Drosophila melanogaster: one gene and its partners. The protein of the gene in region 3 interacts with the protein of the main gene of each other region in a pairwise test. Each region holds a gene or a part of one and is shown on either strand. Other genes may lie near its edges.

What was found.
Region 1: the proteins of HINT1 (region 3) and CG15083 interact in a two-hybrid assay, tested with the Drosophila melanogaster proteins (one large-scale study listed by BioGRID).
Region 2: the proteins of HINT1 (region 3) and Arf6 interact in a two-hybrid assay, tested with the Drosophila melanogaster proteins (one large-scale study listed by BioGRID).

Annotation. Positions count from the first base shown.
Region 1 is NT_033778.4:18,833,532-18,837,286, forward strand, and holds CG15083 (uncharacterized protein), read left to right. Parts: upstream 1-1,731; 5' UTR 1,732-1,860; coding exon 1,861-1,981; intron 1,982-2,748; coding exon 2,749-2,816; intron 2,817-2,884; coding exon 2,885-3,047; intron 3,048-3,123; coding exon 3,124-3,224; 3' UTR 3,225-3,311; downstream 3,312-3,755. Other genes in the region: CG15098 (uncharacterized protein), read right to left, coding at 120-253, 434-587, 780-865, 945-1,131.
Region 2 is NT_033778.4:15,320,440-15,324,194, forward strand, and holds the start of Arf6 (ADP ribosylation factor 6), read left to right. Parts: upstream 1-2,061; 5' UTR 2,062-2,273; exon of another isoform or gene 2,274-2,302; intron 2,303-2,363; exon of another isoform or gene 2,364-2,591; intron 2,592-2,684; 5' UTR 2,685-2,702; intron 2,703-3,009; 5' UTR 3,010-3,044; coding exon 3,045-3,126; intron 3,127-3,405; coding exon 3,406-3,708; intron 3,709-3,755. Other genes in the region: CG8155 (uncharacterized protein), read right to left, coding at 1-69, 127-1,449, 1,537-1,581. UniProt on the Drosophila melanogaster protein: GTP-binding protein involved in protein trafficking; may modulate vesicle budding and uncoating within the Golgi apparatus. Promotes cell movement and remodeling of the actin cytoskeleton during compound eye morphogenesis.
Region 3 is NT_033779.5:2,768,015-2,771,439, forward strand, and holds HINT1 (histidine triad nucleotide binding protein 1), read left to right. Parts: upstream 1-2,120; 5' UTR 2,121-2,136; coding exon 2,137-2,177; intron 2,178-2,179; exon of another isoform or gene 2,180-2,244; coding exon 2,245-2,386; intron 2,387-2,445; coding exon 2,446-2,715; 3' UTR 2,716-2,890; downstream 2,891-3,425. Other genes in the region: Taf10 (TBP-associated factor 10), read left to right, coding at 1-212, 272-529; colt (congested-like trachea), read right to left, coding at 631-1,551; CG15399 (uncharacterized protein), read right to left, coding at 2,924-3,425.

The DNA of each region.
Region 1 (3,755 bases), on a different chromosome or scaffold from region 3:
TATAATTTTGGTGCTACTAGCTAGAAAAATATTGGGTTTATCGGGGAAGCCCCATTGGAAACATTCGAAAAGGGATATGATGAAATAAGAGCTGGCCAAACGGGAAGCTACACTGGAGCTTAAATCTTGGTGTAGCTGGGATAGGAGTTGGTCTGCTGGGTCGGCTGTGGGATCAGCGGGCGCTGGATCTCACGGGATGCCTGGATCTGCTTGAAGAGCGAGTAGATGCCGTAGTAGAGATACCAGGTCAGCACTGAAAACGAGCGAATGGAGAAAAATAAGCATCGTGCCCAAGCGCAATTATAGAACGATCGCAGACCGTCGAGCGATAAGCGCAATGGGGATCCACAATTTCGCAACAACGGCCAGTGTGTATTGTGTATACCCATTTCCAGATAGAGCTTATGTATGTATGAAGTGGTGAGTCACTTACAGAGCAGGCCAACATCCACGAAAATGATTGGAAGAGCGCTCAGGAAAGATGTATTTCCGATGATCTGGGCCAGCATTGCAATATTGGTGATAATTCCAAAGACAAGCAGCACTCCATTGTTGATCAGCCAGGGCAGCAGGAGTAAATGGCGTTCCTGAAAGGCAAACGCTATTAGAACCATCTCTATCTCTAGTTAGTATGGTGTATGTACATATGTATTTGCAAAGAAACTTGCCGGTTTTTTTTACAGAATAGTGGGCTTTTAAAAAGGTCTAACTCTAGATATGTACTATAGTAGACACATATATACGCGATTGTACAGATTGCATATTGATACTAGACTTACCTTAACGGTACCTGCAACCAACATGGCCGAAGCCAGAAGATTAATCACCTTGAGCGCCAGGTAAACACTGAAAACGATGATTAGCACTGCAATAACCGCAAGAACAATGAAATACAATAAAAAATATACGATTGGTTGTGGGTGCACTCGATGGTTAGCCCTTACCACTGCGAATCTCGGTGGCCGTCTTGTTAGAATCTTCCGATCCCTTGGCGATCTGCTGCGCAATTTCATCGACGAATCCGAGGGCCAAGGACAAGAGGATCGTGGCCAAGAAGGATAGAATCACGCCCAGCCATCCAATGACCACACCATAGGTGTTCAGGCGCATACAGAAGACCCTGGACAGCATTCTGGATTCACTTGATTTCGTGCTAATGCGAAGATAAAGACAATTTTACTTCAGTTCGCCGGCGCAGCAAAATTGCAATTGCTTGATAAGTCGCAATTGGCTGACAATTAAAAGCTTTTGGGTACAGCGGCGTTGCCAGACTGGTTCAAGCAGTTGGTGTCGAAACTGTGACTTGTTCACCAGCTTTTAATGTGACTTTTTAACGCTAATTGTTTAAAATTCTTTTAATAACATTTTTATATTTTAAATATTTTTATGCATTTATTATTTGGCATGATAGTTAAAAAATATTTATTTATGTATTCATTAACACTGCACAGCAGCGGCTTACTTTCATAATATTTTTCAAGGTGCTAATAGTAGCTACATTACATATATAATACAGCATTAAATCTCTCTATTATTTTAAAGACAATTCCCCATTTTATTCATTTCACTCTTAAATGACGAAACATATGCAAACAAATTCATATAGTAAATGAGTGCACATATATTTTTTAAGAACATATCAGACGTAGTTTTTCCACGCTCGAAAAAAAAGTATTTTCGTGTTGCATAGTTTACGCAACCGTTTCTTCTGAGCGGCATCGGCATTTGCGCCACACTTATTATTTGATTCTTGCCCAGTGCGGTTGTGTTTCCGTGCGCTAGGTGTTCCCAAACCGGTTTAAGTGCCATACTAGCCATATTTGTATTTGGAAAATTCGCTGTAAACCACAGAGTTTCAAAATGAAAATCGATCTGACGGTGGAAAATGGCCCGTGCAATACCGATTTGCGGAGCTGGTGCCTGGGAATCGCGATCTATTGGCTATTGAGCATGACTTTCAACGTTATATTCGCTCCAAACGGTAGGAGAAATGCGAGAGGCGTGGCATTTGTTTATTTTCAGAAGCTGATTGCCCAGACTGACGCTATTTCCATAGAGAGACAATACATTCATGATGTTCACATGCGAAATAAACGAATGAGCTAATCCATTCGACACAAACGCGTTCCAATTCACAACCATTTTGGATACAACACCTCACCATCGATGACGACATCGCCGACAAATTCGAGCTGACAATTCATTTTAGGTGGCCCGAAATGCCATTTTCTCACAGGCTTGAATTTTCCAGCACAAAAAAGAAAATTAAATAATTTCCTTGGGCTGTGCATGGCGCAGAATTAAACTTAAAAGATTATTGGGTTTTAACAGTTGAACGCCATATGTCATAAAAACACTTAAAGCCCTGCATTTGTCCATGTCTCAAAGAAGTTCTATAAACCTTATTCTAAGCTGTTTTAAAAAGTTTGTCATATTTCATGTATGAAATGTGTTTAAAATATAAAAGAAGAATTTATGTTTTAGTTCTTTATGTATATGTACACATGTACATGAAGTGCATCAGTGCATCAATATGTACTCATTATATACGAAGATACATTTAGCAGTCGTGTTCTCAAATTTCAGACGGGAAGAAAGATAAGAGCACAGCAACGTTTTGCTTGGAATACATTGAGTCACTTATAAGCCCAAGTTTATGTTTACTTTCCACTAATTGTAACGGCTTTTTTTATGAATGAAATATGTACGTTCAATAATTTCTATTTAAATTCACTTGAATCCTTGCAGTTCTTACCTTTATTGGATTTGCCATCGTAGTAGTCGCCAATATTTGCTTATTGATAGGAACCCTGAAGGTAAATAAAATACAACCCATTCCGTTTTATTGAGTCAACGAAACCCAATCTACCTTTCCGAATTGCAGGAAAAGCCAATTCTGGTGTTCGTCTGGCTGATCTTCGCTGCCATTGAAGCCATCTCCTTTCCGTTTGCCGTCTTCGGGGTTATCTTCCACTACGGAGGATATCGCGAGGCTACCGGAATGAACAACGTTTTCGGTGCCCTGCTCGTTTACATCATCACATTTCGTAAGTATCGGCTATGAACATCAAATTGAGTTAACAAAAATGTACAGATCATACATATTCTCCGCTACACTTTCAGTATTGATCCTCTTCAGCGCACGAATTGTGTACTCCTTCTACCTCCAGCTGAAAAACAGCGAAGCCAGCAAACAAACACCGCGCGCCATGAATGTGGTTTAGTCCTTATCATTCTACACTACATAAATTGTCGGGGAAGAGCCCACCGTTCGTTCATCTCAGTGTTTGCAATAAAATGCTTTGTTTTTTATTTGATTGCAGTTTGTCGTTAACGCACATCTCTTACTCACATCGACTTGGGATCAACTATCAACAGTTAAATACATTGGTTACATACATATACATACAGGGTGCTATTGGCTATTGGGCTACCGCGTTCTTAAACATTCAACATTTAAAACGATCGATCACACTACGGACAATTATATACTCTCGACACAGTTCTCTATCTATATAGCTAGCTATCATACTCGGCATCGTCTTCTGCTCCAATCTGCTTACTTAGACATAAAATGGAAAGTTGGTCATCTTATTGTTGCTGCTGTTATTGATGTTTTGCGACTGCGTAAAGCTCGTCTCGGCATTTTGGGTAGTTAGCTTAGCCTGCACGGCCGCCAGTATTCGCACAGCCTGGCCAGTACTGCCCGACTCCATGGCAGACTCCATACCTAGGTTCAGGTTCAGCTTGAGCTC
Region 2 (3,755 bases), on a different chromosome or scaffold from region 3:
AGCGCTGTAGGAGCTGGAAAAAGTGCTGGCGCTATTGGGCACGGAGGCATCAGTAATGGGTACGAATTCCTGTGAAAAATCATGGTGATTAGAAATTAAGCAATTCCCTTTGGGTTTCGCACTAACCTTTTCAAAGAGCGCCAGCTCTTTCTCCCCATCACATCGATAACGAAGTGAACTCCACTGCACCTCCAGCATGCGAAGGGCATCCTCAAAAGGAAACTCCCGCTTTAGCTCCAGCAGTAGCCAACGGTAACAGAAAAGTAAGTCGTCCGCTTGCTGCGACTTGAGGTACTCCCAGAACTCAGGATCATAAAAACTTAGCGCCTCCGTTAGGTGAGCAAATTTCTGAGTCATTGCAATCCCATCCAGCATGAAGTTTCCACGCATACGTGACATTATCGCACAAAAGCAGATGTAGGCCTGTGCCTCGTCGTTCATGGTAACCAGTAGCGGGGAAGCAATGTCCGACATGCCTTGACAATATGAGACCGATGGATGGTTTAGTGCATATGTGGTGAGGATATTGAAAAGCGCAGCGATGTTCTGATTGTCGTCGCTGCCTGCATAAAATGGATGCAGGCGGTCCGTGCGGAGAACATCCTTCTTTACCATGCTCGTTACGTAAGCCAGTTCTCCAGCCACACTGCCTCGCTTCACGGCCGCTTTCCATGTGTCTCTCAGACGACAGTACTGCTCAGACTTTCGTCGCATGAATTCCATACGCTGGTGTCCATCAAGTGCCAGTCCGTTAGCGCCACCGGGATAAACGTTAAGCAGATGTTTCCACACAACGCGCCGCAGACTGGGGTCAATGCCTCCTAGGAAGATGACCCTATGCAACTCGTCCTTGCGTTGAATCTGACCAAGTGCGTCCAGAAAGAGCCGGAACTCGCTGTCGCACATGGGCGGCCGTGGCGGTAGATTGGCCATATGCTCCTCGGATAAGTTAAACGCTTTCTGCACTATGGAGAAGGTTTTCTCCATCTGATTCAGAATGGAGCTGCCCAGTTTGGTCTGCATGTGCTGGACATATTTCTGGGAGACTCCTAAGGACTGCAGTGGTGACATAAGCTCGCGGGCGGGTACAAAAGGTGCAGGAGTTGCGGGAGCAGGCGCTCCCGTTATGGATCTACCCGGGGAGGCCTCGGTCTCACACTCCCTGACCACCGTAAATGGCTTCACATCGATCTGCAGGGTGAGGCAGGGTTCTGAGGCCGTCTGAATGGAAATGTTGTGAATCCTCAGAAAGGCGGCATCCAGATCCCAGTCGGAGCGCACGGCCAGGTAGATCTCGTTGCCCGCCGGATCAAAGGCCTTGTACTTAATGGAGAAGTCCGACTTGACATCGAAGGCCTTGGCCAGCAGGGAGTACAACACCTCCAGCGTGGTGATCTGCGGGTCCACTGAAAACTTTCGCCACTCCGGCCGAGCAGTGGGTTCGCATTTCTGTGGGCGATTTCAAAAAAATTAGATTGAGGAACACAAACTAAGCAGCCCTTTTGTTGTCTCGCCTTCTGGCCACCTTTCACTTGCCTTCACTTTCACCCGAACCGCCTCCCGGGGGCAAATGCCAGCCATGTTTTCCGAGTCTGTTCTGGTCGACGACTAACTAAGTTCCATTGTACCTCTGAGCGATGTCAGTATCGTAAGTATTGCTCAAATATAAAACAATACAAAAGAAGGAAACTGAAATCAATCGACTTGATTTCAATCATCGGTTTCAGTGTGGCCGCCCTAGGGCTTTGTAAGTTCACCAGGGCTACATTAAAATACCAAATCACTAAATACACAAAACAAAAATTTTTAAAATTAAAAAAAATTAACAAATTGTTGAACGTACGAGGAGAATATATCAGCTACATTGTTTGCTAAATTAATATGAATAATAAATGAATATAAGAAAATAAATCTTTTTCAATTTTGAATTGCAAAAGTAATAACTTATTGGCCAAAAAATCACGATATCCCCGCCAGTCACCGTTTTTCATCTGATAAATTCAGTATTTTTGGTATTTATCCTCCGCATTCTTTGCATTTTTTAGCGTATTTTCTGGAATTCCCGAAGATCTTGTTCCGCTCTGCGCTAACGGGCACATTGCTTCGTGTATGTGTATATAAATACAAGAAGATTAGTGCAAAATTGTTGTTGTTAGTTATAGTTTTTTGGCCGCCGTGTGCTAGCAAATGCATTTTATGCCCCGGCCCGCGCACTTTGGCACTACATGTTAACGGATTTCAGGCTGGCGTGGAACGAATTGGGCTGGAAAGCGGTGCGTAACGGCGGTCGTCGGAGACTTGGGTGTGTATACATGTGTATGTGTGTTACGGGCGTGTTTGTGACGTAGGCAAGCAGCAGCGAGAGAGCGAGCGAAATTCCGTAGAATCCGAAAACCATCCGATATCGTTGCTCCCAAGCCGGCTTTACTGGGTCGTCGAGGGGTGCGGTGGCTGTTCAGGGGGCGGGGGTGGAGCGGTCGGATCCACCCGCCCATTCAGTGGAGCCAGCGATAAGCCCGCAATTGAGATAACTCTGCCTCAATTTGCGAGACACTATAGTGTGTTTATCTGTCCAATTGTACTTCCTATGTGTAAGCATGTGTGCGTGTGTTTGTGTGTGCGACTGTGTGCTGCAAGCTCTTCACTGATAAATTCTGCCTCTCCACTTTTTTCTCGCTTTTTAGCAACGAGCTGATGACAATGTAAGTGAAATTATTATGCAAAATAATGGTCTTAGCTTCCGCCGTCGTACAAGCTCTATATGGCCACCAAATTGCCTGTGCCCGCCGTATGTGTACATATGTAGCTACATTTGTATGTTCATATATCACTTACGCGCCTTCGCGCGACGGCGTTCTTATATCATAAATTGATATGTTAACTGCAAACTGTATTACAATGGCCCTATTATCTGGAAATTCACTGACCCTGCCCTGAATCTCGCCCAGCTATTCTTATCGATATGCTTATTTGGAAGACCTCGCCAACTCTACTCGAACTGTTTTTCAGATTGGCTAAGGTTTAATGGATGACACATCAGCACCATGGGAAAGTTACTATCAAAAATTTTCGGCAACAAGGAAATGCGAATTCTCATGCTCGGACTGGACGCGGCTGGAAAAACAAGTAAGCACATAAACAATAAAGGGTTCTCGAATTCGATTGTGGGCCTGATTAGTACCCATTAGTTTCATCAGTTTCCTAAGTGGAAACCAATCCCATTTAAAAAATACTCTTGAGGCGAGGCAATTATTGTTTTGTTTTTATTCTTATTGTACTTTGAAAAAATGTACAATATAAAGACCTTTCAATACGTACACCAGTACTATCACTAATCGAATTCGAGCTATTTTGTTTATACATCCTTTGCGTGTCTAAAGTAATATTGTTTTTGTCCACCCACAGCGATTCTGTACAAACTGAAACTTGGCCAATCTGTTACAACGATACCCACTGTGGGCTTTAATGTGGAAACCGTCACCTATAAGAATGTCAAGTTCAATGTGTGGGACGTCGGTGGGCAGGATAAGATTCGACCGCTATGGCGACACTATTACACGGGTACACAGGGTCTGATCTTCGTCGTGGATTGTGCGGATCGGGATCGGATAGACGAGGCGCGCACGGAGCTGCATAGGATAATTAACGATAGGGAGATGCGCGACGCCATCATACTGATATTTGCTAACAAGCAGGATCTGCCTGATGGTTAGTATAGTGCTCAGCCAATTGTTTCCATCCGCTTATTGTTCTCT
Region 3 (3,425 bases):
CCGCAGAATCCGTAACATCGGCCACGGACACCGAGGAGGAGGATATAGACTCGCCACTAATGCAGTCCGAACTGCATTCCGACGAGGAGCAACCGGACGTGGAGGAGGTTCCTCTGACGACGGAGGAATCGGAGATGGATGAGCTGATAAAGCAGCTGGAGGACTACTCGCCCACCATACCAGACGCCCTCACCATGCACATCTTGAAAACGGTAGCTATATACCGGAAACTATTCTTTGTAGCATTTCTAATATTGGATTAAATCTGCAGGCTGGCTTCTGCACAGTGGACCCCAAGATAGTGCGCCTCGTCTCGGTGTCCGCGCAGAAGTTCATCTCGGATATTGCCAACGACGCACTGCAGCACTGCAAGACGCGCACCACGAACATCCAGCATTCCAGCGGACACAGTTCCAGCAAGGACAAGAAAAACCCCAAGGACAGGAAGTACACGCTGGCCATGGAGGACCTGGTGCCGGCACTCGCGGACCACGGCATCACCATGCGCAAGCCGCAGTATTTCGTTTAGATTTAGTTAAGCTCTAAAGTTTTGAATTGGGCACACAAATATAGCTAGTTTTCTTCAAGTTGTAAAAACATTTTAGCGAGGCACTTTCTTTATTAGACAAACTAGAAATTTGGAGCTACGATGTTAAAGAATTTGTTAGCCAACTCAATGCCGAAGAAGCAGGCAGCGTTGGCTGGGAAGGCTCGGAGCATGATGGGCGTCACGCCGCGGTACAAGGCCAGAGGTCCATCCTTGACAATCAGATCCTTGAAGACACTGCGTATGCCGTGCTTGTAGGTGCCTTCGGGAGCCGATTGTAGGCGGCTCTTTAACACGTCGGCTGGCATGCCCAGAATCCAGTAGGCCATGCCCGCCACTCCACCTGCGAAAATCGTTGAGGCAGTACTGATTTGTCCCGTCTCTGACTTCGACTTGGCCACATCCTGCAGCGCCTCGTAGACCAGGAAGTACAGCCCGTTGGCGGGCAAATCCCTGAGCATTGTGGCGCAGCTGCCCTTGAAAACGCTGCGAAGTCCACCCTCCTTGTATAGCTTGCCGGCGCAGTCGATCATGCCGTTGTACTTGCGCTCGCCACCCTGACCCTGCTGCGTCTGCAGGAGCACCTTGATGCGCTCGCCGGGTGCCATTATCAGGGTGGAGAACAGGCCGGAGAAGGAGCCGGCCACGAAGATTTGCGGGTAGGTCAGCTTGGCGTCCTCGCCGCGCTGCTGCAGCCGCTTGCCCAGCGCATAGCCGGCGAAGCACATCGCAAAGATCGGAGCAACGCCCGTCAACGGTGCGGACATGCCCTTGTACAGACCGCGGACGCCCTCATTTTTGATCGTCTTGGCCGCACAGTCGAAGGTGCCGCGGTACAGGGGCTGCTCACCCGGCGCCGGACGCGGCATGGTCTGCAGGCGCACCTTGATGGTGTCCAGCGGATGGCCAGAGAGCACATTGCAGATCCCACCGAATCCGCCGGTCAGGAAGGACTTCACTGGATTCGCTTTGCGCTCCGTGGACACGTTCTCCGTGGTGGTCATGGCTACAGGTTGCTATTGCTCTGCTCCTCCTTCACCTTCACCTTAACGGCCGGCAGCTGCTCGATTTCGGAACTAGTGTTGCTGTTTTCTGGCAAGTCAAGTGGATTATTGGAATTTGCACCTAGCCGATAGTTTCGAACTAATCTTGAGCATTCTATAGCGATAAGGAGCGCGGCAACATTACGTCACAAGCTGTTGATGTTCCCACAGATGCAGTGATTCTCCAGATAAAGATACTGGACTGCACTGATATCACAAAAATATTGCCACGGAGCAACTTGATCTTGCGATCAAAAGAGTAGTTTTTCTGGTTTGAAGATCTCTATGATTTCCATATGTTGCAGCAGGGTTCAAAGTCCACCTATGTGCACCTCCTTTGAATTGAATTTTCACTAGCCCTACAGCCCTAATTAATTAAAGCGATCTATGGCACTAAATACTTTTGCATTTCCCTGTAATAATTTGTTGATGTTTTTTTTAAATAATAAATAACATTATAGCGACGCAGGTGTGAGAGCATTCGAATACCCTAAATTTGCCGCTCTGTGTGAATTGTCTGAAAACCAAGTTGGCAGCGCTATTTCGATGTTCTTGTCAACCGGCCGGAATTTCTTTCGTGTTTTCAGGTGAGTTCGTGCGAAATTGGCTTAATTATCTAAAGTGCCGCGATTATATACTGTATTTACGCTGCAGCTCTCGCCAAATAGCAAGCTGCAGTGCTAGAATGGCAAGCGAAGTGGAAAAATCGCAAACGGCAGCCGCCAGTGAAGACACCATTTTCGGCAAGATTTTGCGCAAGGAGATCCCATGCAAATTTATCCACGAGGATGATAAAGTGAGATCGCAGTCCATTTGGTTGCTAGAAAAAGATGTTACCTATCGAATCTTTCACAGTGCGTTGCCTTCCACGATGTGGCGCCCCAGGCACCAACCCACTTCCTCGTGATTCCTCGCAAGCCAATTGCCCAACTCTCGCTAGCCGAGGATGGAGATGCCGATCTGCTGGGACATCTCATGCTGGTGGGCCGCAAGGTGGCCAAGGAGCTCGGCCTCGCGGATGGCTACCGCGTGGTCATCAACAATGGCAAGCACGGCGCCCAGTCAGTTTACCACTTGCATTTGCACTTCCTCGGCGGCCGCCAGATGCAGTGGCCACCAGGATAAGAAGCAGCCGATGGTGCAGCTACCAGATCCAAGATCATTTACACCACAGAGAATTTTTGAAATAAACTATGTGAAATGCTAAAACAAGTTACTTTAAATTCGCCATGTCCATAATTCCTAAAGAAAGCTTCGTTAGAAAAACGTAGTGCTACTTCATTTTTCCATAAATTTTATTAAAAAAATTGATGGGAAACTAAAAAATAAAAGGTCACAAGTGGCGGAAACTTAACAGTGGAAATTGCTCCTTGAACTCGATGACGCGGTTTAGGAAGCCGTACAGTTTGCCCTGATTACGGCTCTTGTCCACAAAGCTTTGGGGATCCAGGCAATTGACGAGCATCTCCTCGACGTTTAACTGGTGGGCAATGCTGCCCCTTCGACGCAGTGGTCGTCGCATCAGCTTGTCCAGGTTGGTGCCCACCACCAGAATGGGCGCATTATGGTTTTTCAATATGGAACGGATGCGCAGATGTCGATGCTTGCAGATCTGTCGCAACGGATCGTACAGCCAATCGTGCAGGCTGTCCTGGGAGCTCAGTTCCAGCATGTTGTACACGAGGACGATGCCGTCAATATTCTTATAGAAGCTTTCGCGCTGCTGGCGGCACATGCGCCAATCGCTGTTCAGGTCGTAGAACTCGACAAAGTACAGGATATTCGTGGTGGTGGGCGTACTCCGCATATACGGGTAATTCTCGGAGTCCTCCGAC